Saccharomyces cerevisiae S288C: one gene and its partners. The protein of the gene in region 4 interacts with the protein of the main gene of each other region in a biochemical or structural test. Each region holds a gene or a part of one and is shown on either strand. Other genes may lie near its edges. The genes, in order: SIZ1, NFI1, RTS1 and SGO1.

Evidence for each region.
Region 1: of the proteins of SGO1 (region 4) and SIZ1, one has a biochemical effect on the other in vitro, tested with the Saccharomyces cerevisiae proteins (one study listed by BioGRID).
Region 2: of the proteins of SGO1 (region 4) and NFI1, one has a biochemical effect on the other in vitro, tested with the Saccharomyces cerevisiae proteins (one study listed by BioGRID).
Region 3: the proteins of SGO1 (region 4) and RTS1 form a complex in vitro, tested with the Saccharomyces cerevisiae proteins (2 studies listed by BioGRID).

Annotation. Positions count from the first base shown.
Region 1 is NC_001136.10:1,287,813-1,295,928, forward strand, and holds SIZ1 (SUMO ligase SIZ1), read left to right. Parts: upstream 1-1,593; coding exon 1,594-4,308; downstream 4,309-8,116. Other genes in the region: TRAPPII-specific subunit TRS120, read right to left, coding at 1-126; ADE8 (phosphoribosylglycinamide formyltransferase), read right to left, coding at 403-1,047; STE14 (protein-S-isoprenylcysteine carboxyl O-methyltransferase), read right to left, coding at 4,560-5,279; DFM1 (Dfm1p), read right to left, coding at 5,557-6,582; rRNA-processing protein RRP17, read left to right, coding at 6,881-7,588; ERD1 (Erd1p), read right to left, coding at 7,786-8,116. UniProt on the Saccharomyces cerevisiae protein: Acts as an E3 ligase mediating SUMO/Smt3 attachment to septins and PCNA. May be involved in chromosome maintenance.
Region 2 is NC_001147.6:624,552-632,231, forward strand, and holds NFI1 (SUMO ligase NFI1), read right to left. Parts: upstream 5,990-7,680; coding exon 3,809-5,989; downstream 1-3,808. Other genes in the region: SLP1 (Slp1p), read left to right, coding at 178-1,941; ISN1 (IMP 5'-nucleotidase), read right to left, coding at 2,077-3,429; PUP1 (proteasome core particle subunit beta 2), read right to left, coding at 6,415-7,200; mitochondrial 37S ribosomal protein mS26 PET123, read left to right, coding at 7,613-7,680. UniProt on the Saccharomyces cerevisiae protein: May act as an E3 ligase mediating SUMO/Smt3 attachment to septins. May be involved in chromosome maintenance.
Region 3 is NC_001147.6:354,226-362,110, reverse strand, and holds RTS1 (protein phosphatase 2A regulatory subunit RTS1), read right to left. Parts: upstream 4,438-7,885; coding exon 2,164-4,437; downstream 1-2,163. Other genes in the region: PET127 (Pet127p), read right to left, coding at 1-699; ERP4 (Erp4p), read left to right, coding at 1,027-1,650; YOR015W (uncharacterized protein), read right to left, coding at 1,759-2,118; YOR012W (uncharacterized protein), read right to left, coding at 5,155-5,568; YOR011W-A (uncharacterized protein), read right to left, coding at 6,253-6,459. UniProt on the Saccharomyces cerevisiae protein: The B regulatory subunit might modulate substrate selectivity and catalytic activity, and might also direct the localization of the catalytic enzyme to a particular subcellular compartment. Multicopy suppressor of ROX3 and HSP60.
Region 4 is NC_001147.6:461,089-468,382, reverse strand, and holds SGO1 (Sgo1p), read right to left. Parts: upstream 3,613-7,294; coding exon 1,840-3,612; downstream 1-1,839. Other genes in the region: UFE1 (Ufe1p), read right to left, coding at 1-171; CDC21 (thymidylate synthase), read left to right, coding at 794-1,708; YOR072W-B (uncharacterized protein), read right to left, coding at 3,753-3,914; YOR072W (uncharacterized protein), read right to left, coding at 6,567-6,881; NRT1 (nicotinamide riboside transporter), read left to right, coding at 7,107-7,294. UniProt on the Saccharomyces cerevisiae protein: Plays a central role in chromosome cohesion during mitosis and meiosis divisions by preventing premature dissociation of cohesin complex from centromeres after prophase, when most of cohesin complex dissociates from chromosomes arms.

The DNA of each region.
Region 1 (8,116 bases), on a different chromosome or scaffold from region 4:
GTTGAATTCAGAAAGTTTCTGTACCGCATTATTAAACTCTTTTCGCGTCCAATGGCCAATTGGTATCACTAAGGTCCTAATCTTAGATGGGCCAACATAGCTTGGGAAATGCTTAAGAATATTCATGGTTTTTGTCTCCCTGTAACAGGTTGTGAGCCGCACCTTAAACCAGTTATACTAGAACCGTTTAAACTACAATCTGGCCTGATTTTAGTTTTGCAATAACACGATTAAGCGTTTACACATGCACATTCATATATAAGTATACGTATTTACACACATTTTATTCGAAACCTTTAAGATCGTTTTGTCACAATCCATGATCATGATTTACGACGCGAGATGTTTCGCGCCTCACTTTGAAGAATGCCAAATATAAAAGTATAAATATGGGAACTATTCTTATTTGTGAAGCTGCTGTAAAACCTTATATGTAGCTTCTACAATCGCGATGTGCTCAGCATCGTGTACCCTTTGCTCGTACTGCTCTAGTGTTTCTTCGCCAGGTATGATTTCTAGCTTTTTTACCACCAATGGCTCACCCTTGTCGACCTCCTCGATGACATAGTGCACCATGCATCCGGCCGTCAGAGGCTTGTTCTCGTCCTGACATTTGCGCCATGCCATTTCAATTGCGTGTGTGGTACCATCGAAACAACCTGGTAGCGCTGGATGCAGATTTAATATCGGCACAGATTGCAGTTGGCTCAAGAAAGTAGATCCAAGGATCAATAACCAGCCCGCGCAGATGATAACGTCAGGCTTTTCCTCGAGCACTAGTTTTGCGAGGTCGTTCTCAAACTGGGATCTTGCCTTGGCCCTTGCGGCTTTGTCCTCCTTCGCAATACCCTTTGTATATGGGTATAGCGAACAAACCTTTGTGGGGATATTATTGTCCGCTGCCCTAGTTAACCCGTATGCCTTCTTGCTGGAAGATATGACAGAGACAATATGAGCATCCTCGCCTAATTGGCCCTGCTTTTGGGCATCGATCAAGGCTTGCAAGTTGGAACCTGAGCCCGAAATTAATACGACAATTCTGGCCATAGCTTTTGGAAAGATTATTGATGTGTGTTGGCTCTCACCTGCGCTTGCTGCAAGTTAAATCATCAACCTTGAGGCTAGGAGCGTTATTCAACTTTAGAAGTGTCTTCTCTTCATAAACTACTCTATATAACTTTCCTCTTGCTGGAATAAAAAACAGGTCAGAGTCACTAGCAACGAGTCACTCATTCGAATCCTTGCTGACGCTTTTAGTCTTTATGCTGAAATCTATCTTCGAAGTCGGAAGGAAAATGCATTTTTAAACTATCACTAGAACTACCATTTTAGAGCGAGCAGAAGGTTCCTCTTTTCTTAAACAAGTATAATTTTCCTTTTTGGATTGTACTTTATATTCTTACACTAAACGGCCCCTAGATGTCACCTGAGCTGTAGTCAATGTATACACCCATTCACCGCACCAGATAGTAAGTTGAAAAGTGTATCATCTTTAATATGAATATGAAAGAATGAAGTGGAGTTCATCCATATTTCACAAGAAAAGAAGACTCCAACTCAAACAGTTGAGTGTTCCATATACATTCTGTTTCAATGATAAATTTAGAGGATTACTGGGAAGATGAAACGCCTGGGCCTGATAGGGAACCGACTAATGAACTAAGAAACGAGGTGGAGGAAACCATCACTCTGATGGAACTGCTGAAAGTGTCCGAATTGAAGGATATTTGCAGGTCTGTATCTTTCCCGGTTTCCGGTCGCAAGGCCGTTCTACAGGACCTTATCAGGAATTTCTTGCAGAACGCTTTAGTAGTAGGCAAGTCTGATCCTTATAGAGTTCAAGCCGTTAAATTTCTGATAGAACGGATCAGAAAGAATGAACCTTTGCCTGTTTATAAAGATCTTTGGAACGCTTTAAGAAAGGGTACCCCATTGAGTGCTATCACAGTACGTTCTATGGAGGGGCCTCCCACGGTGCAGCAGCAATCACCTTCCGTTATTAGGCAGTCTCCCACTCAACGGCGGAAAACGTCTACCACATCTTCCACATCTCGTGCACCACCACCTACAAATCCAGATGCCTCTTCTTCTTCATCATCTTTTGCTGTACCGACAATTCATTTTAAAGAGTCTCCATTTTACAAAATACAAAGGCTAATCCCTGAATTAGTGATGAACGTGGAAGTCACAGGCGGAAGAGGTATGTGCTCTGCGAAATTTAAATTGTCCAAAGCAGACTATAATCTATTAAGTAACCCGAATAGCAAACACAGGCTATACTTATTTTCTGGGATGATTAATCCATTAGGATCCCGAGGTAATGAACCCATCCAATTTCCATTCCCAAATGAATTAAGGTGCAATAATGTTCAAATCAAAGATAATATAAGAGGTTTCAAGAGTAAGCCGGGCACAGCTAAGCCGGCGGATTTAACGCCTCATCTCAAACCTTATACTCAACAAAACAATGTGGAGCTGATATATGCCTTCACCACGAAGGAATACAAGCTATTTGGGTACATTGTAGAAATGATCACTCCGGAGCAACTCCTGGAAAAAGTATTACAGCATCCAAAAATTATTAAACAAGCCACGTTACTTTACTTGAAAAAAACACTTCGGGAGGATGAAGAAATGGGCTTGACTACCACATCTACTATCATGAGTCTGCAATGTCCAATTTCGTACACAAGAATGAAATACCCTTCAAAATCAATAAATTGTAAGCATCTGCAATGTTTTGATGCATTATGGTTCCTACACTCCCAACTACAAATTCCTACGTGGCAATGCCCAGTATGTCAAATTGATATAGCTTTGGAAAATTTAGCAATTTCCGAATTTGTTGATGACATTTTACAGAACTGTCAAAAAAACGTTGAACAGGTAGAACTTACTTCTGATGGTAAGTGGACAGCCATATTGGAAGACGATGATGACAGCGACAGTGACAGCAATGATGGTAGTAGAAGCCCAGAAAAAGGTACTTCAGTATCGGATCATCATTGTTCTTCTTCACATCCAAGTGAACCGATTATCATAAATCTCGATAGTGATGATGACGAACCAAATGGAAATAATCCTCATGTTACTAATAATCATGATGATAGCAACAGGCATAGTAATGATAACAATAATAATAGTATCAAAAATAATGATAGTCATAATAAAAATAATAATAATAATAATAATAACAATAATAATAATAATGATAATAATAATAGTATCGAAAATAATGATAGTAATAGTAATAATAAACATGATCATGGTAGTCGCAGTAATACTCCCAGTCATAATCATACTAAAAATTTAATGAACGATAATGATGACGATGATGATGATCGACTTATGGCGGAAATAACTAGCAATCACCTTAAAAGTACTAATACAGATATTCTAACTGAAAAAGGTTCAAGTGCACCCTCGAGAACCCTGGATCCAAAAAGTTATAACATAGTTGCTTCAGAAACTACTACTCCGGTGACAAACAGGGTTATTCCTGAGTACCTCGGAAACAGTTCCAGTTATATTGGTAAACAATTGCCGAACATTCTGGGAAAAACGCCTTTAAATGTGACTGCTGTTGATAATTCATCCCACTTAATCTCTCCAGATGTTAGCGTATCATCCCCAACGCCAAGAAACACCGCTTCAAATGCAAGTTCGAGCGCTCTCAGTACCCCTCCCTTAATAAGAATGAGTTCATTAGATCCCAGGGGATCCACTGTTCCCGATAAAACAATAAGGCCTCCCATAAATTCCAACAGTTATACTGCATCGATATCAGATTCATTTGTCCAGCCTCAAGAATCTTCAGTTTTTCCACCACGTGAACAGAATATGGATATGTCCTTTCCTTCCACCGTGAACTCAAGATTTAATGATCCACGTTTGAATACCACAAGATTCCCTGATTCAACATTGCGTGGGGCAACTATTTTGTCGAATAATGGGCTTGATCAAAGGAATAACTCTCTACCAACAACAGAAGCAATCACGAGGAATGACGTCGGGCGACAAAATTCTACGCCTGTACTTCCCACGTTGCCCCAGAACGTCCCAATTCGTACAAACTCTAACAAGTCTGGGCTTCCTTTGATAAACAATGAAAACAGTGTCCCCAATCCTCCCAACACTGCAACCATACCGTTGCAGAAGTCCAGACTCATTGTAAATCCATTCATTCCAAGGAGGCCTTACTCTAATGTACTGCCCCAAAAAAGACAACTTTCTAATACATCCTCAACTTCACCCATAATGGGTACATGGAAAACGCAAGATTATGGAAAGAAATACAACAGTGGTTAAAAACGAGGCTAAAATTGGACGGTTCCGTCCAGCTCTTTCATGAAATATTTTCTTTGTAATTGTGCATATGACCTTCATTTTCTATAATTTTCCGTTCGAAAAAGAAATATTTTCTTCTTTTCAATACTCAAAGGCAATATCACTGTTTGCATTCCCCTAGCATTTATTACCTACCAAATACAGATGCACAAGATTAGATAAAATCTTACATAACACAAAAATCCAGTCCATAACTAACACAATCATTACTATTATATAAAAGGTATTCCGACACCAACCTTATTCTTGTATTCTATGTATTCCGCGCTAAAGAACTCTATCAAATATTTTTCTTCCACACGAATTCTATCACTGAAAAATTTCCAAAGTACAAAAATGAAAATAACCAATGATAGGGGATTTAGAAGCAGTAGCTGAGTGCCAATTGCCCACCAAAAGAACCCAAGATAACTTGGATGTCTTGACCAGGAGTAAACGCCAGTTTTCACTAAAACATGATCGGACTCCTTCTTGGTCTTCACAATATGAGAAAAGGAATGTCCCGCAGTATGCATAGCAATAGTTCTGGTATATTGTCCCAGAATAACTAGAAGACATCCAAGTACTGTACAAAGCTTGGTAGCTAGAGAGTAGCTAAAAATTTTCAGATCAGGAAAAAGAAAGCTTTCTACGAGGCATTCCAGAATAGCAAAGGAATGTGCCGCCATGTAACTTTTGCCGTTGTTCAGAAGAAAGGACTCTGAATGTACCTTAAGAGGATTGTATTTAGCTGTAATATAATACTCCAAAAAATGGAATAAGGACAGGGCAATAATAAAGAGGTTAAAATTCTTGAATCTAATTTGTGGAAAAAGACCAACAAATATACCTAAAAGAATCCCCAGTATGTAGGAAGTCATGGTCACCTCATGCAGCGGATTGCGTCTGATGTCTGGATACTCATGCTCGTCTTCTTGAAAATCTTGGTGCATGTTGTGTTCAAAAACGGTGACCACAATGAAAGAGGAGGTAAAAAGAGTAATTATCTTGAAATCGATTTTCACTTTCTTATATAATTCATCAACACGAGAACCTTTCTATATACTGGTGGTATCATGTAAAGAATTGTTTTACCATAGTGGCCCATTTGTCAATTCGTCTTGAGTGATGTTTCATTATCAATCGGTTGCTATGCCAACGAAAATACTATGTCAGACTCTCTTGATGTATATAATGAATGGCAAAGTACATAGAAATAGATAAAAGTTGTTATTGTGAGTCGGAGGGGCTGTTTGTTTGTCCTACTCGTTGGCCGCGGCCTTGAAATTGGTTCAAATTCGATGGGCCACTTCTTAATTGACTTCCAGAAGCTCTGCCTGAATCTGTGCCACTGGTTTGAGACAATGTTGCAGGGGCCGTACCCAATCGTTGACCTCTTCCACTAAAAGTTCTCGTTTCTCTTTGCGAAGATGGCACATTGGCAAAGTTGTTGTTGAATGTTGCAGTTTCATTGTGGGCACCCGTTATGCGAGCATATAGACTAGTAAACCACCATGGCGTTGAGAATTTCCCATTGGGCGAGATTCCGTAGGTTGGATCAGCTTTTCTGGATATCATCCCCCATATTGGCCCCAGTGTATGGGTATCTAAGCATGTATAAAGGTACCCTGTAGTAAAACCGATCAATGAGATTACGAAATCACCCTCATTAAAAACGAAAGAGATAAACAATTGAATTAAGGGGAAGTACTTCCCCCAAACAGGAATCAAACCATAAAACATGATCTGCACGTTGGCATTGTCGATCGACCAAGTATATGTAATGCATGATATGAACCCAGAGGTGAGCACAACAGGGTAGTAGGACCCATAAATGATTGTAGTGGCCGTAGTGATGGCTAGTATACAAAAGCACAGGTAGTAGGCATAGTCTACTGTTACCATCGGTCCTCGTCTATTGGACAAACCGGGACCAAAATGCCCTCGCTCCAACTGTGAGGACCTGTCATAAATACTATATAGTTCCATTAGCGCAGGCATGGCACGAGACGAAAGCATTACACAAGAAGTAAGAAGTCTCCATATCTGAACCTTCTTGAACGTCAAATTCCAAACATAAATAAAGTACCACGGATTGATTAGATTCAACCGGCCGACGATCGTCATAACGATCGCTAGAGTAAATAAAGTTCTTGTTATTGGGGGGATATTTAACCAGAATTCTTTTGGGCCCATCACATCATTATTACGGCCTCCATTTCCATGTAATGTACGCACATTCCTTGGGCCTGCCATTATTTCCTCGAAAATAGTTTTTGATTTGACTTGGAAATGCGGAATTCACTGGTAATTTGTTGTATTTTGCCTTATATCCTTTGTTTGATACTCTTGTCTTATATTGAAGAGGACACGATTTCATGAGCCGCGAACGGGTAAGTAGGGACTTTTCACATTTGAAATTTTTCAAATGTGATGAGGATCGATTCTGCAAAGCAGCAGATAATAGCAGATAAAAAATAGAGAGTTGCAATATTCAAGTTCCTGGTAGCTGCTCGAATCAAGAGGGGTGAATTAAAGGTTTTCGATTTTTGCTATGGCTGTTCACACCAATAGGCAAATCCTTACAAGAGGCAAAAACTATGCTACAAAGCAATCAAAGAAATTCGGTACCGATGAGGTGACGTTCGACAAGGATTCTCGTTTGGATTATCTGACTGGCTTTCACAAGAGAAAGCTTCAAAGACAAAAGAAAGCACAAGAGTTTATTAAGGAGCAGGAAAGGCTTAGAAAAATTGAAGAAAGACAGAAGATTCGGCAGGAACGTAAGGAGGTGATGGAAGAACAGTTAAAGACGTTTAAAGAGAGTTTAAACTTGGAAGCTGAGATAGAGGATGCGAAAAATGATAAGACGGAGGATTTGCAGGTAGAATCTGATGAATCCTGGCACGGGTTTGATTCTGATAAAGATGACGGCGATAACGACAATAATGAAAGTAGCGTAAAGCCTATTTTGAAGAAAGGAGCAATCACGGAAATATACGATGACTCAACTACTGTTGAATTGGAGACATTGGAACCCAATGATAACTTTGAATATTTAGCCCAGCTAAATAATGTCAAATTAGAAAAGGCAGAAAAAGTACTCAAACAAAGCATAAATAGAGCCACCAAATACGCGAAGTTTCTGGGCGTGGATGAGAAACAAAAGAAGAAGCCAAGAGTAAAAAAGTTCAGATATTTGACCAAAAATGAACGAAGAATAAACCAAAGAAAGGCAAACGACAACAAGCGTAGGAGATAATGCAGTCGCATTATCGTCGGGCACCGCCTGGGGTTTCTTGACGCTCAAACAGTGTTTGATTTTTTTTTGGAAAAGTATATACTGTGCATATGTATTTTTCGTTTATTATATGTAATATATCGAATAAACCATTCTACGGGGAAAATAGAACAAATATTTACAGCATTTGCATGATTTTATATGGCTTGCCCAACAAATTATTTGCTTGCAAACTTAATATAATACTCTGCGTCCAATTTGAAAACGACCCATATGCCTCTTCTAATTACTTCGAAATACTGCATTTCGCCTTGGAAAAAAATGTAGTCGCTATCTGCGGCAACTAATTTCAGATTCTGCGATAAATATACCCATAGCCACCAGAACCTCAGCAAAAAGTCAACGAGAATCGCCGAATGATACATTTTTTTCTTTAATGTGACGGCACTTTTGGATCTGGATCTTAAAGAGGTTAACGAGTCCAATGACCAATCCATCCTTACATCCCAAAATAACGTATAGGAAGAATTAATTAGCATAAACCATCTT
Region 2 (7,680 bases), 160 kb from region 4:
AATGTCCGAAAGAATTCCGAGAATTTTATTCCTAGGTTATCTCATCGGTACTTTTTTTTTATAGGCATCAGCATTTAGTGTGAAAACATTATTTCTTAACTGTGCCTTACGGTTAAAAAGAAAGGACGCAATGGATATAGTTAAAATATAAGATATATTATATCATTATCTGTCCGAATGGCGAACCGTCTTCTCATATACGGCCTTATTTTGTGGGTAAGTATAATCGGATCTTTTGCATTAGATAGGAACAAAACTGCTCAAAATGCGAAGATTGGTCTACATGATACCACTGTGATCACGACTGGAAGTACAACGAACGTGCAGAAAGAACATTCCTCACCACTATCCACCGGTTCTTTAAGAACCCATGATTTTAGACAGGCCTCTAAAGTTGACATACGGCAGGCTGACATACGGGAAAACGGTGAGAGGAAAGAGCAAGATGCACTAACACAGCCTGCAACACCAAGGAATCCGGGCGATTCGAGTAATTCATTTTTATCGTTCGACGAATGGAAGAAGGTCAAGTCGAAGGAGCACTCATCAGGCCCTGAACGTCATCTTAGTCGAGTGAGGGAGCCAGTCGATCCCTCTTGCTATAAAGAGAAAGAATGCATAGGAGAAGAGTTGGAAATCGATTTGGGGTTTTTGACAAACAAAAACGAGTGGAGTGAAAGAGAAGAAAATCAAAAAGGATTCAATGAGGAAAAGGACATAGAGAAAGTTTACAAAAAAAAATTCAACTATGCATCCTTGGATTGCGCTGCAACAATTGTCAAAAGCAATCCAGAAGCGATTGGAGCGACTTCTACGTTAATTGAGAGCAAAGACAAGTATTTACTGAATCCCTGTTCAGCTCCGCAGCAATTCATTGTTATAGAGCTTTGTGAAGATATCCTGGTGGAGGAAATTGAAATTGCTAATTACGAATTCTTTTCCTCGACCTTCAAGAGATTTAGGGTGTCAGTTTCTGATAGAATACCGATGGTTAAAAATGAATGGACAATATTAGGAGAATTCGAGGCAAGAAATTCAAGAGAACTACAAAAGTTTCAAATACATAATCCCCAAATCTGGGCAAGTTATTTGAAAATCGAAATTCTATCCCATTATGAGGACGAATTTTATTGTCCCATATCCTTAATCAAAGTATATGGTAAATCAATGATGGATGAGTTTAAGATCGATCAACTAAAGGCTCAAGAGGATAAAGAACAATCCATAGGAACTAACAATATAAACAATTTGAATGAACAAAATATCCAAGACAGATGTAACAATATAGAAACGCGTTTAGAGACTCCAAACACAAGCAATCTCTCAGACTTAGCTGGTGCATTATCATGTACTTCAAAGCTCATCCCTTTGAAGTTCGATGAATTTTTCAAGGTGCTTAATGCATCCTTTTGTCCTTCCAAGCAAATGATATCTTCTTCTTCTTCTTCGGCTGTTCCTGTAATTCCAGAAGAATCCATTTTTAAGAACATCATGAAAAGGCTGTCACAACTGGAGACAAATTCTAGTTTGACAGTTTCTTACATTGAGGAACAGAGCAAACTGCTATCTAAATCGTTTGAACAACTTGAAATGGCGCACGAAGCAAAGTTCAGTCATCTTGTCACGATATTCAACGAAACAATGATGAGTAATCTAGATCTGCTGAATAACTTTGCCAATCAATTGAAAGATCAATCTTTACGTATATTAGAAGAACAGAAACTGGAGAATGACAAATTTACTAACCGTCATTTATTGCATTTGGAAAGATTGGAAAAAGAAGTCAGTTTTCAAAGAAGAATTGTTTATGCGTCATTTTTCGCCTTCGTAGGGTTGATATCCTATCTATTAATAACGAGAGAGCTTTACTTTGAAGATTTCGAAGAGAGCAAAAATGGCGCTATTGAAAAGGCAGACATTGTTCAACAAGCAATCAGATGAATCCTAGAGGGCCCATAATCATAATTCTAAGCATAATTCATTCAAGATGAAAAAATCCACCGCCATATATGAGGTGTTTCTATAGGAAATATCTATATACTTTTATAGTCCTAATTTCATTTTACATAAACTGTTTTAATCAGTTTCTAATAATCTATGAAGATAATTCACTGTTTCTTGAGGGGATGCTATCCAGAGGGTACATCCAGCTAGCCTTGCCTTAAAATCATTTGCTGATCCCACCGGTGCAAACTGATCGCCTACGTGTAAGGTTTCAGAGGGTTGGATAGGAGATTCAGGGTTATAAAATTGTTGCAATGAACGAACACCAAGATCTTTCCCCCCAATATCACACCAGACATCACTACCACCATCAAAACAACTAAATTGAATTCTTCTAGATGGGGCAAAAGACTCTAAAGTGTTTTGAAGGGTTAAAACTATTTCCTCCAGTTGTTCCCTATCAAGCTTAACAGGAACTTGTCTTTTAGAAGCTTCATCGTACCGTTCGCCTGGGACGATACCCACTGCCCTGACTTTACGGATAATAGAAATCTCTGAAGGTAGGTTTAGTCTTTTTCTTAACCTGTTAAGAGTTCTCTCGGCAAAGTCCAAAGTCTTTTCCACGTCCTCGAGGGACCAAGCCTTCATTCTAGGCAATAGCCATTCCTCTTTGTCAATTTGTCTAAAGCCAAAGTTATCTTCCTCCGGGTCTTCATAGTAACGGAAAAGGTAACTCGACTCACCACCCATTATTGTTAAATTCTGCTTTTGAGAAACTGGTATATCAGTTGAATCATGTAATGCAACAATTAATCCTTTCAATCTGTTCTCATAGGTTCCAGCTTCATCATATCCGGCCGCAGTGACTATTCCCACATTGATACCGCACCGCAACAGCTTGAGAATATAAGGAATTACAGGATTAGTGTAAACCAGGGAGCCACCATCTTCATACAGCGTCACATCTCCATCAAAAGTCACTAATCTCAAAACCTTACCATTATGTAAGTTCTCCTGTTTCTTAAAGTGAAATATCTGTGCAGTATTCAGGATATGCCTGATATCATTAAAACTGGGTGCTACCATTCTACGCGCCGAAATGGCCCGTTGTGAGTCTTCCCATAGAAAAGCTTGTTCCAATGGAAGTTCCGTAAAGAATGTTCCAATTGATGGAACCAAAAGATTTAAACGCGATTGTCCTAATATATTCAGAGATTGAGAAGAGGCGCCATCTTCAATTTCGTCTTGGCTCATGTTTCTTGAGTCAAATTCTATTTTATCTTTAATCAGCCCTTCAATGTCTTTAAAGATATCAGCATACTGCGACCTTACACGTTGAGTTGTTGCTAAGTCGTCATTGTAGTCACCTTCATGAGAGACGGCATGTAGAACAAAAGGTGAGGCCAGTAGCCCCTTTACCCAATCTATAAACTCATCCTTGCGGTGGCTCTTCAAATGATATTCCACTCTATATCTTGAGGACATTGCTATTATAAGTTAACTCACGATCTTTTGTTACTTTCTTTGAATAGTTTTCTTTTCTTAGTACATTCCTTTACCTTTTAAATTTTGTTAATTTAAGGGCGGCCTGTCCCGCTAAACGTGGGAAGTGAAAGGACATGAAATATTATAGTGTAATACAGGAAGTATACAGAGAAATCTATAGAAACCTATCACTGCAGATTCGCACACTACACCCATGAAGTAACCACAGTAGTAAAAAAACATAACAAAAGTCGTAATATTTATCAAAACAAAAACATCATTTACGCCCAAAAGTGGAAGTCAATATTAAGAGCGAAATGAAACAATAGAAATAAAAATAGAATACAATCGGAAAGGAAAGAAATCAAAAGACGGTTAATCAATCTGATGTTAAATCGACCACTTCCGAGTTATCTTGAGCCGATGTGTTAAAGTCATTAGTTTGGGCCAGAGTTTTATTCATTATGGCGTGATTTGCCTGTGGTCTCCGTTTCATAAGGGTGGCGTATGGATTCTTCGGAATGTAGATAGAAACATTAGAATGCCTTCTCTTCCTAATTTTTCCATCATCCCCATGGCCGCTGGTGCTCACGTGTATATATGGAGGGAGATGTGCCGCCGATGTGGTCCTTGTTGGTAGTTCAGTTTCTGCTTCTGAATTTGGGTCCACAGGGGGGATTGGAGGCAAATCACCTTCGATTCCCAAAAGATTACGATCTTGAGCTGTGGTATTGTAATTAGGTCCGTAGGGGTTTCTCTGCGCTTCCGTTTGATTAGTCAAATTTTGTAGAACAGCCGGTAATAGTGGCGTTGATGGCCCTCTATTGTAGAATATTCTGCTGTCACCATTCGTCGCCGTAACGAAAGAATTAATACTGCTATTGTTCGTCGGTGTGTCATTTATATTTGTAGTAGCGCCTTGGTTCAAAAATGACCTCATTTGAAAAGCATCTTGATAATTATCTTGGTCCATAGTTGGAGAACCTTTCGGCGTTGATGTATGATTGGGGTTGTAGTCACTGGATCCTTCCGATTCTGAGGGAAATATATCTGCTCTTAATTGGTCATTACGGGGGTTCACGTGCGTTGGGAAGCTTTTACTAGCCGGAATAAAGGCTTCATCATCTGAGCTATCCAGAGATATTATTTCGGGTTCGTTGTGGTTTGAACCATTACGCAAATTAGTATCGAAGGCATTTCGGCTGTCATAATCTTGCTCTTGTTTGACAGTGCCTTGGTTCTCGTTTTTCACACTGTGATTTTGGTTAACAGTATCCGTTATAACGGCCGAACTATTATGAATCGGTTTCCATGAGCCATCAACAGATATCTCAACTTGCTCAACATCTTCATTGCAATTTTGAATAATATTATCTACAAATTCGGAAATCTTCAACTGGTCGAATTTTATAGGGTGTTGACAAATCGGACACTGCCATGTAGGGACTTGTGACTGAGAGTGAAGAAACCAGAGAGCATCAAAACATTGGATATGCTTACATTGGTCAGTCTTCGCCGGATACTTCATCCTTGTACAAGATATAGGACATTGCAAACTCAGCACCGTGGAGGTTGTAATAATATCGTCATCATCTTGCTCATTCAAGGTTCTTTTGATGTATGCTGTGGTGGCTTGCTTGATAATTTTGGGCCTTTTCAGAATTTTCCCCAGAAGAGCTTCAGGTGAAAAAACTTCCACTATAAAGCAACTTATAGAGTACTCTTTATCAATATTGAGATAATGTAAGTCTAGGTGATTCATCTCGGTCGGTACTTTAAGATAAGGCGTTAAATTTGCAGGATTACCTGTCCCATTTTGTTTCTTTAAACCTTTCACGTTGTCCTCTAGTTTGGTGCCATTAAACACTAGTTCACAGGGATACGGGAAATCTATTGCCTCATGGCCCACAGTTTCATATATAAACGGTATTGAAAAGCCAGAAAACAAATACAGTTTATAACTCTTGTTAGATTTCAAAAGATCATGATTAGATTTACTTACCTTGAACTTCATTTTTGTACAACCTCTTCCTGCAGATTGCTTCAATTTTTTATTGGCATCCGGTATTTGTACTATTGGTTTGTAAAACGGTGAGGTAAAAGAATATGCTAAGGCCTGTTGTTGGGAATAAGGTGGCAATGCAGTACTCTGGAGAGCTGTCACGGGTAGTTGCCCCGATGCTACAGGATGCTTGAACGCACCCGTCTTTAAAGTTTCCCAAAGGGTAGAGTATTTTGGTAATGATGAGTTTATCCTTACTTTCGCGATAAGAATCTTAATAGCCTTAGGCCTCCACGGATCTATATGTCCAATATCACAGGATTTTCTTAAGAATTGTTTTATTCGGTCTTGTAAGACAGCCTTTTTGCCCGTTATGGATAAATCCAGAGATTTGCATATTTGCTTTAACTCTAGAACCTTTAATTGTTCCATTTCATTTATTGCATCTTTTATTTCATTTATGAGTCCACCACCTGTGTTGGACAAAGGGTTCGTAAACATATAACTGGCATTATTATTATTATTATTATTATTATTATTTGACATGACACTTGCCATCGTGCTCTTTTCCCTTATACGTTTCTTGATTATCAGTGTATCGTTTGTGGTATTCTTAGTTCCTTGATATTTGCCTCAGTAATAGCCCTTTAAAGACCAACAAACGGATGACTATAGAAATGTTAATTTTAGTGTTATGTTATATGTGTGGTACTGAGCTGTGTTTGTTATATTATGCTCTGTGTGATAAAATAGCTAAAATGGATGGATAAATTAACACGAAAATTAACGAACAAAAATCAACTAACACACTTCAAAGCATAAAAAAAAGAAAAAAGAAAAAGAATCAAGAACAAATAATAAGCTCTGCTATAAGAAAATATATTATGTAAATAGTTTTGCGGTTAGTTTTTGACTTCCTTTATCACATTTTGTTGAACAATGATTTACTATACTAAAATATACTTAAGTTCTATGTTTTACTTTCAAGCCGTTATATCGACTTGTTCTTCTTGTATGTCACAAATATTGACAATACTCTCCTTCAGCACAGCAGTTGTACCCCTGGGGAATTTGTAGCTTTTCTGCTTTTCTTCTCTAACATTTGGAGTCAAGTAATTCCTCAAGTATTCTGCATCTTTACCTATTTCCATGACACACACATCCACATTAGAACCAGACCCCAAATCATTCCAGATACCAGCCTGGATTGCATCAGAGGCCAACTTTATGGCTTCCTCCTTCGTAAGGTCTTGCTTCCAGTGTGATTCCAACACAGCCATTGCCGCTAGAGAACCAGATCCTAGAGAAAGGTAGTAGCCCACGTCAGTAGAACCATGCGCATGAATGGAGAACAAATGAGATCCCGTAGGGTCTACACCTGCAACAATCAAATAAGCACCAATATGACCTTGGTACTTAAATAGGTGCTGCTTTAGCATTTGTAAAGCTGAGACCACTCTTGGTTCTCTCGAGGTATATAAGGAATGTAATTCAATGTTAGACCCGATCAACTGCGTAACTGCCTCAGTATCGGCGGCGGTACCGGCACCAGCACACCATATTTTGGGGGAAATTCTATGCAATTTTGCGCAATTCTTATCTGCGACAATTGGACCTTGTGTTGATCTTGTATCTGCTGCAATCACCACTCCGTTATTGAATTTTACGCCTACAATGGTGGTACCCGTGGAAGTTGCCTTAGGTTGTGTGTGCGAGTTTTCCGCTAAGAAATTATTTCTTTGATAATTGTCGAACGATAAACCTGCCATGCTCACTCAATTCTATTTTCTACAATCAGGTTTATGTGGGGGGAGTATTCCTGAAAAAATTTAACGCTTTACTATACAAACTCTCCACCTCAACTGATCACCCTTCTGCTGAATTATTAGTTTATCCTTTTCATCTTTCTTTTTGGTATTTTGCCACTCGGCCGGGTTATAAAATACGAAACATGGCCCTAATTTACCCGCTTTTACAATAAAGGGTTTGTAATGAGGGTAAAAATATTGGCCCTAATGAAAAATCACTAGCAACGGAAGTGCAAGTAGAACCCTGAAGTCGCCGAGTAGGAAAGTGATTCCCAAGAGGAGTAGAATAAAGAAGAGAATCTACATATGGATTATTTAGGTAATAGTTTCATTGCTGATTGTCAACAACAATAATAACAAGGATAATTGAAGTATGGGGAAAGGTGCGGCCAAGTATGGTTTTAAAAGTGGGGTTTTCCCCACAACAAGGTCCATTCTGAA
Region 3 (7,885 bases), 110 kb from region 4:
AGAGGAGTCTGTGTTCACATCTTTTTCACTTTTCTTTTCCAAATACTCTGGATTAATATTTTCCACTGCAGGGTCAAAATTATACATTCTGCTCCTATTATCTCTCAATTTTTGTAGCGACAACGGTTGGTATAACACTCTCGTTAATCCATGACCAATCCTAGGAGGCTTTTGGTTGTGTTTTTGAACACCATCTTGATTGTAACGTACTAATGCGTGCCTAATCTTCTGGACATTTATCCGAAAAGTGTATGAATTGCTATCTGAATATGTTCTGCTAGCGGGATATGTTCTCCTAGCGGGATATGTTCTCCTACCAGGATATGTTCTTCTACCAGGATACGTTCCTACCTTTGTCCGCTCCAAATACTTATCATGTCTATACTCCTTCTTTATATTTGTTTTCAGTAGATTAATCGCCTTGTCCATTTCTTCCGTATATTTTTGTCGACCTCCCTTTTCCTTGTTTCCAATGTCCTCTACAGTCGAATTTGTGTCATATATTTCATCGACCATCTCTAAAGCACTATGCAGGTCAGAACGTAGCTTGTCTGGTGTTTCTCTTCCACTAGGGGCATTTGTGAGAGCAGCGCCAAAGTGATAAATCGATCGCTGTTGATAGCTTTTAGCGGCGCTACCTATTCTGCAAGGCTCAACAGATAGACGTCTGGACAGGAATCTACAGTTGTAGAACCCCATTATCAAAACTATAAAAGTATCAGGTAGCGTTTGGCTCTTTTTTGTGCTCTCTCAAGTGCCCTGTTTATATTATATTTTTACATATTTGTTTCTTTATTAACCAACGGCATTGACGGAAACGCGCTTTATTATGGACTACTTTTTTTTCACTGTTTCCTGTTTTTTGACGTGATATACTCAAAGATGAGCGATTGACGATCTGAGAATTCTATTTGGGAACTCTTCTCTGCTTTGAAGACATTTATTTCCCAGCTGCCTTTGAAGTAGTTTCACGAGCGCTAGTGAAGTTTTTTCATAAATATATATTCCCAATCATCGCTAGGAATTATGCGCGTTTTTACTTTGATTGCGATTTTGTTTAGTTCATCTTTGTTAACACATGCATTCTCCTCTAATTATGCTCCTGTAGGCATATCATTACCTGCTTTTACCAAAGAATGTCTTTACTATGATTTATCCTCTGATAAAGATGTCCTTGTGGTCAGTTACCAAGTTTTGACAGGTGGGAATTTCGAGATAGACTTCGATATTACCGCCCCTGATGGCTCTGTTATCGTCACTGAAAGACAAAAGAAGCATTCTGATTTTCTACTGAAGTCGTTTGGTATAGGTAAGTACACTTTCTGTTTGAGTAATAACTACGGCACTTCCCCAAAGAAAGTTGAAATCACCCTCGAAAAGGAAAAGGAAATTGTTTCTTCCCATGAAAGCAAAGAGGACATAATCGCAAACAACGCCATCGAGGAAATTGATAGGAACCTGAATAAGATCACCAAAACAATGGATTATTTAAGGGCTAGAGAATGGAGAAACATGTATACTGTGAGTTCTACTGAGTCAAGATTAACATGGCTCTCATTACTAATTATGGGGGTAATGGTTGGTATCAGTATAGTGCAGGCATTAATTATTCAGTTCTTTTTTACCAGTCGCCAAAAAAACTACGTATAGGTTGCTTTTCAAGCTCTTAAAATTGTTGGATCAGCTGTGCTAAGGGGAAGGCACTTTTTTGTATCATGATCCTATTTTTTTTGTTATTTAATTATTTATGACATACCTTTATACTTTAGTTTTCAAAAATCCAATAATAGATAGGCAAGGTTTACGGAAAAGAGTGGAGTGCAAAATAAATAGAGGAAAGGCAGAAGGAAGAAGGAAAGCGAAAAGAAAAACGAAGATATATTTGGAGAAAAGTATAGAAATAATAAAATGAAGACACATCGATTGAAGTATGCTCAAATGATGAGAAAAAGAGACCTTTATCTCAGGCCACAAACAACCATTGTCCAAGTGGCTTATCTTTGCTATAGTTTTGTTCGAATATTCGGGGATTCTATCTTTGGTTTCTTCAACAAGTTGACCCCATTTACCAGTTCTTTTTTGCTCTTCATATACTGCTGCTCTTTTGAAATGTGGCATGCCCTAAACTTCCTCACTTCTTCGAGCTTGTAATGAATTGCTGTTTCACTGTATCTCGCTGTCACAATCATTTTCGTTCTCTTCATTTAATGTGTTATTCTCACTTGCTGTGTTGAAACTGTTTCTTAATTCTGGGTTTTTGATTGTGTATTGGTCCTTATCATTGTTAATCCTTAGATTTTTTACATATTCTTCAAGTTTGCTCCAATTTTCTTCACGTTGCACCTTACGCTGTTGAGTTTCTTTTACACTTGATAAGTACAATGCATTACAGTTTTCGTACAATACTGGGTTTGTTTCCAGAAAAATTTTCAATGCCTTGAATGCCATAGCATGAATTGCCCTATTCCACGAACCAGAATTGATTGCTTGCTCAACAAGCATGTAAGGGTCTGAAATGCTATCTTCGCCATTTGCTGTATCTAGCTCTAACTGAGAAGTTAATTCATATAATGCAGGAAATATAATGGGTAGGATGACTTCGGCATTTTCGATACATAAGTTTAAGAAATATTCATTATTCCAATAACTTAAAACCTTTTCCGCCACTTGGAAATGTGGAGAAGAAATACACTTAGCTAATTGAACAAATAACGGAACTTCTACTTTAATAAATTCCAGCGGTTCGATCACTTCAAAAATATCCTCGATTTCATTTAGAAACATTATCTCTTTTGTGGAATTTATTTTTGGCCAATAACGCAGTAAGCCCATAACTACCTCTTCGGTTAATAAAGGATCTTTTTCGAGAAATTGAACGATACAGTAAGCCAACTGAGGGTGGTATAATGATAAACAACGGACCTTGTGTAATGGTATCAATATCCTCACCAAGAAAACCTTGTGCTCTTCCTTTAATGGAAGTGCAAATCCATTAATTATGGAACCCAAAATTTCTAACAATTCTGCCACACCGTTAAACTTCTCAGTCTCATAAATAAATTGCAAAAAAATATTATTCATCGACCGACGAATAAAGCTTCTTAATGATAAGAACTTCCCATATATTCTATGCAGTGTCGTTTTCAAACAGTCTCTTTCTCTGATATCTTCGCTATCAAATAATTCCAGTAACTTTAAAATAAAGTCCTGATCAATATATTGTTTAGCAATCTGATGATTGAAATCAGGACTTTCCACAAACCTTAAAAAGAATTCGTAAACAGCTTGCATATGAGGCCAGGCTAGTTCGTTAACAGGTTCATCTTCATCTGGGTCATAAATGTCACCAACTGGATTTACTGGTGGTGGAATAGGTCTAAACAGATTGATTTTGAACATGTTCACCACATGAGCGTACATCTCATTCGTGTAAGTGAACCTATTTGTTACAAGGAATTCTATTAGCTCATCTAAGGTGCTTCTTTTAATCTCTTTACCTTGAATGTCAAAACTTGGATCATTAAAGTCAAACATAGTGTTACACTGGTCAACTTTGGCAATGAACAAAGGGATTCTTTCTTCAGGAGAAACTTCATTAAAATTTGGCAATTTCGTTAATGGCGTATATCTAGATGGCTCGAATCTAGATGAAGAATGACGTTGGGGAGTCTTAATTAACTCTAAATCTGTGTCAGGGTTAAGTTTTGTGGGTGTTGGTAGTCTCTCAAATGAGTGTGATGATCTCGGAATGTCGATACTTTGTGAGGAGGCGTGGTTTGCATCCTGAGTATTACTAGTATTAATATTCATATTGTTATTATTACTATTACCATTTTCTACATCAGAAGAAACTGCTGTACCTGAAGCATTTGAAATGGGAGATGATGGAACAGCGGATACTGCCCCCAGCAAAGTAGGATGTGCATGATCTTCACCAGAAGTGCTTTTGTCGTCCTTAGTAACAGTGAGTACTGGAGTGGGGTTCATTATAGCGGCAGATGATGAAGAAGATCCTTGCTTTTGAGATTGTGATGGCTGTTGCGATTGTTTGGACTGTTCTTGTCCTTTTCTTGAACTTGTTTTCTTTGTGGAGCTTGAACCGGAGCGACTGACACTTGAACTTCTACTGCTACTGCTGCTGGAAGAAGGGGTCGTCGCTGTTTTTGTTTTTGATGTAGAGCTACTATGATGCTTCCCTTGCGAGGGAACACTACCAGATTGCTTGCCCTTCTCAGTTGTAGACTTTGATCCGGTACTGCTGGCAGAACTGTGAGTAGTCCCGTGGGAAGAGCTACTAGCCGAAGCGGGCTTCTTTGATGTGGATGAGGTAGTGGAACTTTTTTCTTTTTCCTTCTCTTTGTCCTTCTTTTTACTGCTTGAAGAAGAAGAAGACCCGGTGGTCTTCTTTATTAATCTTTGCTTGAAACCACGCATCATATTGAAAGTGGATGTTCGAAAATAGCACGTGCCTATTGATCTTAATAAGTAGAACTTTTATACAAAATAAAAAAGCCAGTTAAAGACGGTATTGAGGTGAACAGGTATATGGAGAAGGGTTTATATTTTTATCTAACAAAAAAAGGAAAAAAAAGCAAAATCGAGGGGGGAAGGAAATGAAACCCAAAATACTTACGGCGACGATGGTTTATCCTTGAAATGAAGAGTTTTCCAATGAAGAAACGAGACGTATTGACATGCCTACCAATTGAAGTGGAAAACAAAGCGTAGTTTCACATACTCTTTGATAATCAATTGTCTGATACTTTTTTTTTTCCTTTCTCGCAGCCGGGATAGGGGGTTGTGACCCGGCAAAAAATGTTGGTCTAAGTTTTATTGTTGCTATATGCTCCATACATACAATAAATGTCTATAAAATTTTTAGAAGAAAATCAGGCGTGAAAGATGGTGTCTGCATCTTTGTGGTAGAGCATCAAGTAGGCCGTGAATCCCTTCCCCTGCGGATCGGGTTCTCCTTTGGAGTTCACTTCTCCAACCCCGAACTGAAACACCAAATAGGTTTTGAAACCGAAATATTCGTACACAGATCTTGCGTGCTCCGAAATAGCCTCGAGAGCAAGGGCGCAATTGGCCTTGTCTGCTTTGGTTTTATATTTTTCGAGTATTTTTCTGACTGAACCTCTAATTTCGGGATGGCTAGGATCTTTTCCGATGGCATAAAGGTAGTAATAGTCCATTCCCAGAGGCATGACTTCGTGCTTCCTCACAGTCAAGTCGTGAAAAAAAAATCTTATTGAAAGACTCGTCGTCAGATAGTGTAGCAGGCAAGTGGCACCCAGGGCGGCTCCATATTGCGACTGCATCGAAATCATTTGCCTCAGCAATTTCACCATCCAAGTCATGGTAGCACGTCGTGTAGTAATGTATCATTGCATTTATTCTTGCCCTTGAAACTTTTTCAGTGATTGGGATATGGAAGAACTTTTTCATCAAGTAGTCATTTGCGTATGACTTTTCGAATGCCTTAAACAAAGTTTTCGAAGCCTTCTCTACATCGCTTGTCAAGTTTACCGCCAAAGAGGATTCTTCATTGATCGATGATGCTACCATTATCAAAACTATTGATTTGTTTTCAACGTTCTGATTAGTATTTTTGTCACTGCCTTTTTCTATTGTTTCTTTTTTTGCATTTCTTATAGTAACATAAAAAACACAGGAAAAAAAACGTCGTTTATTATATCAGGAGTAAAGGATTTCTGCCCAAAATGTCAGGAAAATTACGATATAAAACGTACTATAAGATAACAAGCGGCTGAATAATTTCTGAGGTCAGAACCATAAGGGTACTGAAATACTATGTGCTAGATTTTTTATTTATTTTCTTTTTCTGATTGATTATCGTTTGGTTAAAATCAGTATGATATTATATATGACTTGCTTTATAATATATCAAACCGACATAAAAAATTATCCTACTCAAAAAAGATCATGGTTGTCCCCGCGTTTCACTTCTGTTATACCATGCAAATTTTTATATCAAATGAGTAATTCTTTCATTTCTTTCGGGACCCTTTACGAAGTAGTTGTTATATCTCCACTGGCAAGGCCACGAACTGACAAAAAAGGCATGATATAAATTGTGAGAAATTGTGAGTTAATTTAATAATTATGCGACGAGATGATAGAAAGGTAAAGACGACTTTTTGAGCCGGATCTGTTTACGTCAGTAAATTCTCGCGCCCCAAGACGTTATGAGGCATAAAATTTATTGCGTTCAGTTTTCTAAAGAGCTCACTATCGGTGATAGAAATCTTTCTTTTTTATTATCTTCTTGTCAGTAGTAATGTATAAGCACCAATATTGAAATGTCCAATTTTTTCGGCTCTTCCCAAGAACTTCAAGAGAGCAGTAGTATGGAAGAAAGTATTGTGAATGATACACAAAACGGTTTAAATACTCCAATATTTCAAAATGAAAGAAATTGAAAACCGATTTTGCCATTAATAATGATTGCTTATTATCCTTTAGTGAAGAAGTTTGTATTGAACTTCAAAGCTGATTGAAAAATCATTATATTTGAACACGTCGTGAGAAGACATGTGTCCAAGTGCATAGTTATTTAAGGCTTCTACGCTGCTTTGTCCTTTTATTACACATTATAATGAGTCTTCAAGATATTTGACTCAGTATGTATAAGAGAATGCTTCCATTGAGATAGTAAGATGATACGTATTGTTACAATACTTGATAATAAGATGCGTTAAAATATTAGTTAAAATGTTAGCTAAAGTTGTACAATTATTCAAGTCGGTGGAACAATAACACTCATTTTATATTTAATTTGTAGGCTGGTTAAATTTAATAACACTTCTTAGGGCTCTATTTTTATGAACAGGACATCATATTATGTAGGCAATAACTTCCGAACTTCGTAATTGATTTAATTGATAATACGACCTATCGTGAATATGCTAAAAGTTCTTTTCGAGGATATAGAGATTCTCGAAGAGAGAGAGATATTCTAAATAACAATATACATATATATATATATATATATATATATATATATTCCTTTCTTGCTTCTTTTTTGTACATTATGTAACTATATTTCTTTCTCATTCCAAATATTCAAATGTACAGGTATTTAATACCGCCTCAATTGATTTAGCGGTATTTTATTTTCTAACAGCTTAGTTATAATACTAAATATACAAAATATATTAGAAGCTCTTTCTCAAGGATATAGGAACCTGCCAAGGAAACCCATATTTCCACATAATGTTACTATTATTATTTCTTCTATTTTTTATGTTGTCATTCATTATCCTATTACATTATTAAATCTTGCATTTCAGCTTCCATTAAATCAGATGACTGTTTTCAATCCTTTTTTATCTTTCTACTCCGTCTACCACAATATAATAGCTTATGAATACTCGCCGGTAGATTATAGTCGATTCTTATTCCAATAGTTTGTTCCTCCAATGACGTTATAACTAATCATAAAGCAATATAGCTAAATTAGGTACCTAATCTTAAAAGATTTTCAGATTTAAACTAATCCTTGTTGCCTATCTTAATTTGAATATTTCTGTATTCTCGCTTAAAAAACATGATGCTGATTATATCTGTTAGTTCAGGTATTCTTTTTACTCCTATATTCTTCTCAGTCATGACGAAGTGTATGTTGTTTTACGGGTACGAGTAATACCGGGGTGTCTTGAAAATCCCAATATAAACAGTCAATGGAAGTAACCAGTTGTCAGAACGGATTATCAGCTTTTCATGGGATGTTACTTATCCTATATATTATATAAAATATGGATCATATTAATTGGTGGAAGCGCCGAACCTCGGATCTAAATTAATTGCTCAGGCGTCTATACGTTTGGGTGGTTAAGCTAAGGGAGGCGAAGTTATATGTCAT
Region 4 (7,294 bases):
TCTTGCACATTCCTTAATAAACGAATCCCTAAACATTTCACACGTTTCATTAGAATTCCCGAAGTCCTCTTGTTTCCTTTCAACATGATCATCTATACCATTTTGCTCATTTCTAGCATCATCGATAACAGCAACATACTTACGGAATATTGGTGTTAAATCAGACATCATGAGTTAATAAGCTCTTCACTGCTTTTACGGGTGATTTCCCAGCACCGGGGGAAATGATACTAGACGTATGTGTATGTATTCTAGTTATTCTCATTCATCTGAGCTCACAAGTTGGGTAGGGTAACGGAGATCTTTCCTTGTTGGCAGTTCTTAATTAAATGTGCCCTTTTCAGAAAGATACCAGCAAAGGTAGGAATGATTTATCATTACATGACATGTATCCATATTCCAGGATGGATCATGCGAACAAGCTTCTTTCCCCTCTCGTCTGTAAAGGACGGGATTGAGATTCAATTAAAAAATTAGTTTCATTGGAAAAGGCCAATAAAATATGCAAAGGTCCCGTCATTATACTGCAGCTACCTCAAAGAGATTAGCTTTGTGTCCTCAACGTAGGACCGCATTGAACAGGTTGGAAGAGGTGTTGCTTTTTTGACCTTCTTTCTCAAACTTAATATTTGGTGACGCGTTAAATAGAAAAAATGAAAAAGACCTTAATTGACGCGTTTCCTGAAATATTTACTATAGCATAGCTGTAATTGTATTTTCTAAACTTGTAAGTGACTGTGTATATCAAACAATAAAGTATCAAGGAGAGAGCTTCATAACAGAACGGTACAGGATGACTATGGACGGAAAAAACAAAGAAGAAGAGCAATATCTTGATCTATGCAAAAGAATCATTGATGAAGGTGAATTTAGGCCAGATAGAACAGGCACTGGTACGTTGAGTCTTTTTGCACCACCCCAGCTGCGTTTTAGTTTACGTGATGATACCTTCCCACTACTAACGACCAAGAAGGTTTTTACTAGAGGTATCATACTTGAACTATTGTGGTTTTTGGCCGGTGATACAGACGCTAACCTATTGTCTGAGCAAGGTGTTAAGATTTGGGACGGTAATGGATCTCGTGAATATTTAGATAAGATGGGGTTCAAAGATAGGAAAGTAGGAGATCTGGGGCCCGTTTACGGATTTCAATGGAGGCATTTTGGTGCTAAATACAAGACGTGCGATGACGACTATACTGGACAAGGTATTGATCAATTGAAACAGGTTATACATAAACTAAAGACAAATCCCTACGATAGAAGAATCATTATGAGTGCCTGGAACCCAGCTGATTTTGACAAAATGGCTTTGCCGCCATGCCATATTTTTTCACAGTTCTATGTCAGTTTCCCCAAAGAAGGAGAAGGATCCGGTAAGCCCCGCCTTTCATGCTTATTGTACCAACGTTCTTGTGATATGGGGTTGGGAGTACCATTTAACATTGCATCATATGCTTTGTTGACTAGAATGATTGCTAAAGTTGTCGACATGGAGCCAGGTGAGTTCATTCATACTTTGGGGGATGCACATGTTTATAAAGACCACATTGATGCCTTGAAAGAACAAATCACCAGAAATCCAAGACCATTCCCGAAACTAAAGATTAAAAGGGACGTTAAAGACATTGATGATTTCAAGTTGACAGACTTTGAAATTGAAGATTATAATCCTCATCCAAGAATTCAAATGAAAATGAGTGTATAATTGACAGCACGAGGAGAAACAAAATCATGTACTTACGTATATACACACAAAATCGAATGTATATAATACAATGGTTTATTATGCAAAAATATAGAAATTATTAAGGAACACCAGGGCAAAAAGACTATATATCATTTTTTGGTGCGATATGTTTTTGGTTGATGTTTCACTGCCTTACCATTTCCAAATAAATCAAATACTGCTAAATCATCTTCATTTAGTCTAAAGCTAACAGATTTATTATTAACATTATTAATGTTTGAATTGTTATTGTCGAAATTGTTGTAATTGTTGTTATTATTACTGGTTCCCTTTGACGACTTGGAGGGTCGCGTAGTAGAATTTTCATCAGATAAATTATTGACAATTGCATTTTTGAACAATTTTTTAGTTCTTGTTGACTTTTTCTTATTCTCCGATTTATTTGTAATGTCAAGTAAAGGCGACGATTTTTTAGGGCTATTGTTGCTAGTTAGTTTTTTTTCGTTTTTGTTGTTGCTGTTGTTGTTGGAAGTGGTCATTAGATGAGCGGTATCCTCGTGTATTTCATCTTCCGTTTTTTTCCCTTTTGGAGTTCCATAATCCTTTGAGACGACGACTTCTCTCAATTGCGGTTCGTCGGGTATTGAATCTTGGGATAAACTTTTCCTTTTATGTGAAGTTTCCCGATTTCTCTTGGAAACCTGTAGATCATGTATATCAATCACAGTAGTAGCATCCACAAGTTTTTCTGAAGGCCTCCTCATTTTGGCTCTTAAAGAAGGCAAAGTGTAATCTACAGCTTTACCACGAGTTCTTCTAGTTCTCGTAAATGATATTTCGCTGTTGCTGCTCATGTTACTTACGGGCATGACTTCGTCAATAACCTTTTTCTTCAGTTCTATCCTAGGCGGCTTCATGGAATGCTTAATTTTGGTCTTTGGATGAGAATTAGTAGAAGAACTTGATGAAGGATAGACCGTTGAAGCATCGCTAGTGGTAGTAGGTAAAGTTGCGGATGGGCCTGGTAAAGGCAACGGCAAAGGATTTGACGGCACTGTACTTAGCATATTTGTACTGTCATTGAATATTTCTAGTTTAGAAGATGAATGCTCGGGTTCTGTCGGATTCTCCTCTGGTATGGAGTATTCTATAATTGAATTGGTAAAATTACTGACAGAATCGCTATTTTCCTCTTCAGGGTTTAAGGCATCTATTGTTTCCTCCACTTGCGCAGACTCGTGTGATTCTGCCGGTACCTCTACAGAGGAATTTTCCATCATGGGTTCGTTTTCACCGGTTTCGTCTTCAGGTTCTAAACTCGTGGATACAAACATAGATTGCCGCCTAGAACTCTTCCTTTTTTTAGCCTTAGGCTCAAGATCTGGACCATCGTCCTTGTTAAAACTTGATTCATGCGACAGGTTATTCTCGTGATTTGATAACCTAGTGTAACTTTTTGAGTATGTGGGTGATGACAATGAGCATGATCTTGACCTGGAACTCGTTCTCTTCAACATTGTTCTTAAGCTCGAACTGGGCAAATTTTCGTTTTTACGTACGTTCTCAAACATATAAAAAATTTCGTCAAATCTTTGAATAATACCGTTTTCAATGACTTGTAGTTGATTACTTAACCGTTCCCTGTAGATAGCTTCGCTTATAGAGGTTTTAGATCGTAGAGTCACGTTTTCTTGTACCAGCTGGCTTATTTTTTTTTCCAAGCTATTAACTTTAATTTTTAATATGGAGTTATCCTTGGCCAGCAGGGAGTTTTGCCTCGAATACGACTGTCTGATGTTTTCCACTTTTTGCGATTCGAGATCCATTAGGTTTTGAAATTCTTGTATTTGTGGGGTTAAATCATCGTGGGAGACCGTACGCCTGCTGCTTTCCTTGTTAGGAGCAATTTTTCTCTTCGGCATGGTCAAACAATAACCCCTCTATACCCAATTAAACATATATATGCGTGTGTAAGTAATATAACCCTGCGCCTAGCAGTAGTTGTAATGTGGAAATGGCATTATCAATATTAGTAGACGCTCACTTTGTGAAATTTCTTTGTTTACAAAACAAAAGGGCCTTGAAAAAAATAAAAAAAATCTGTTACCCGACCAATAGGAAATAAATAATCAAAAATAAAAGGGGCGAGCTGGGAATTGAACCCAGGGCCTCTCGCATGCTTTGTCTTCCTGTTAGTCAGGAAGTCGCCCAAAGCGAGAATCATACCACTAGACCACACGCCCTTGTTAACTTGTTGTTAAGACTACTTAGTCTTGAGTATCACACTGCATTCAGTAACATATATTCTTTTAATCTTCTGGCTGAGAACTCCAAGAATAATCGCTAAAAATACTCAAGGGTAAGTACCCCAAACAAAGTTCTGTCCTTCTTAGATATTTTAAATGAGGGAAACTAAATCATTAGTTTATTATTTAGATGCATTTTTCCCAGCTTTAACCTTTTTATTTAAAGGAAATTATAAAAAAAATTTTAAAAAAATGAGTTTTGCGTATCCAATAAATAATAGACAAGATGCTGTCACAACAGTATTAAAATTTCTGAAAGATTCTGCTGTCTCTGGACTGTGTAATACAACAATTCTTCGGAAAACTTGATTCGGAATAAACAATGGTCTTTCATTTATGGAAAATTTTCTTCTTTGTCTCGGTCACTAAAAAAAGCCTTAGCAAAGCTATATAGAAAGAAAATAGTGATATGGTGTATTTGCCGTAAAACTATGGTTTATCCAAGGTCGCCTTCAGTAAACTTTCGGAAATATATTCATCGGAGATATATTATATAATGAGTACATAGCAATCTAATCATGCTGGGTCTTCTTGCACCCCAATGAAACCATAATCATGTAAATGCTTGAAAATTCCGGGCATACTATCCTCTTCCTCAATAACCCAATCGAAGTAGAGTGCTAGTTGTGCACTATGTCCTTGCTGCTCATTAAATAAATTTACTGACAGTTTGGTGGAATTTCTTTGTTCGATCAGATAGTACTGTTAGGTATTTGTTGACATTTACTTCCCTATCACATCAGACCACTGTTTCTCCTTCCTTTTTGCCATCTTCTTACCTATTATATGATAATATAGTTCAAAAGGAAATACCAGTCAATGAATGATAATTGGCTCTTACTCCAACCGTTCTTAATCTGGACCAGTAATTGTTCTTATGGTGAAAAAGTATGGTGACGTCTTTACTTTTAAAAATATTTTTAACAGTTGAAGGAGCTCCCCGTGTACATCTTGCCAGATCTTCAAGAGAAATGTCACCAAATAAATTATGAAATTAAAGTACAGCGGTAGTGATAAAAACGATCATCAAGTAGTGCCATCCGATATTTCGTGTCAATTTCCAAGCTCATGATTTATGACATACAGGATTTTCAAGAATATTAAATCTTGTTCCTGAGGAATTTTTGATAAATCCAATAAATAGTAAATAATAAGAAAAAAGACAGAACAACAACGTTTTGGTGGGAGAAAGGCCACTTCTCTGACCAGACTAGAGTACTAATATTTACGACAAATATACTGAGACCGTGACCAATGGTAGAAGGTGATTGGCTTGAAAGAAATGCCAACATTAAAGCACATATCACTGCTCTTGATATCAGTAGAGTTGCAAAAAAATTATACTACTAAAATCAGCTCAACGGCAAGAAGTTACTAAGCACAGCAGAAATTCTGGAGCTAAAGAGAATAATATACATACAAGACTGACTGAAAACTCTGTTTTCCACATGCAGTGGACTCAAAATATTCAGTTGAAGAAGCAAGCACAAAATTGGATCAACCCGTCGCGTCGCGGCCGCTGCTGCAGGCGACAAATCCACTGGCAAATTGTACGCGGCCTCGTTACTCCTACTTGAAAACAGAAGTAACAACAACAAATTCAAGTTTCTACGAAATGGGTCTCATGACGACAAGGTGCGCCCCCCTATCTACCTTGTTGTAAGTCTGGGACCTGGGGCTAATTTCTCATCCCCGGAAACAAAAGTATACAACTACGTGGCTAAAAATTTTTTAGTATGCAGCACATAGGATGCCAAGGAGCAATTTTTAACCCTGGCAATCTGAGCTACTGAACGGCCGCCTCAGGACTCATAGTTCTCTATATATAATTTCTCCATGTTTCTCCTTGTGCCTGGTGGAAAATATCAAGTAGTTGCCGCGACATAAAATGAATGCCTCGTAGACACCGCGAAGCCGGAATGAAGGCGGACACTACGGCACCGCCTCAAACCCAACGGCCGAGAGCGAGTTCATCTCCCTCATAGATGCGAACGGCATTGGCACTGACGCCATCATTGTAGAACATATAGACAAGATTAAAATGCGTAATCACATCATGAATGGGAAGTTAGGTGCGGTCCACTACCCTGGGGGCCTCACTGGGGACGTCATCACCCCCAAAGCACCTCAATAAGTCCATAAATAAATATATAAAAATTACTGAATAATAATAAAAAAAATAAATTAGTTCAGTCTAAAGAAATGGAAGCAAAAACCTCAAAAAAAAAATTTTTTTACGAAGACTATGCTTCCAAGACTGACGTCTTAGAGGCATAGTCGAGAAGAAAAGGAATTACTGGCACAGAACGACAAGAAATATCGTGTCGGCGCCAAGGCATCTATGTAACTACGTCTTGTGATCACCGGTATAGCTGGGACTATTCCGTTTCATCATATGATCTGGCCGTCTGCGCTTGTACATTCTGGGCGCCAGGCGTAAATGACCAGAGTAATGTCTTGCTGTAGTCGTCCGTCGCCACAGAAGCGCGTGGACGCATGATCGCGCGCAGCGACCGGTCGGTTCGCAAGACGGTTGGCAATAGGAGTTTCCTGCTGACCGCCTTATTAATTTATATGAAAGAGGAGAATTTGTCATCGGGCTTTCGAATGAAATAAAACAGCTCCTTTAAGTAATGGAACTGGAAGAAGGAAGAGAATAAACGACAGAATTTTCGTGCTCGGAGCGAACACCGCGCCGGGTTACGAACAACAGTGGCCACTACTATAATAGTTATGGAGTAGACGTCAGAATATATAGCGCAGGCGTCAGAGTATAGCGCGGGCGTCAGGATATAGTGTGCCAATGTAGCGTGGTTGCATGCAGCTAGCTTTTTAGTTGAGTCAGACCTGCTCCAAAAAAAGAGGAACACAACTTTCGTCAGCATGTGTTGCTACCGCTATTTGTTCTTCGGGGAAAAAAATTTGCATTCGCTATTGTAGTTTTAATTTTCCTTCTCTATTCTCATAAATAGAGTTAAAATCTTATAAACTCCAGAATTATCAAGAACAATTACCTATATTATTTCCTATTGCAGAATTTATATTATTCTTTATTGTACTGATATCCCCATTATAACTATCAAAAAAAGGACTTCAGCACCTGTATCATCATGAGCTTCAGTAGTATAGTCTCTAAGTTTTTGAGATATTTAGAAATTCCTGCCAAAAATAGGACTGCCGTGAATTTTCTGAGGAACCCTGATTTGCAACCTATCAAGTCTGCAAATCAAACATGGGGGTTCTGGTCTAATTTGGCGTACTGGGGCGCTGTGTCCTTTACAGCAGGTACATGGATGAG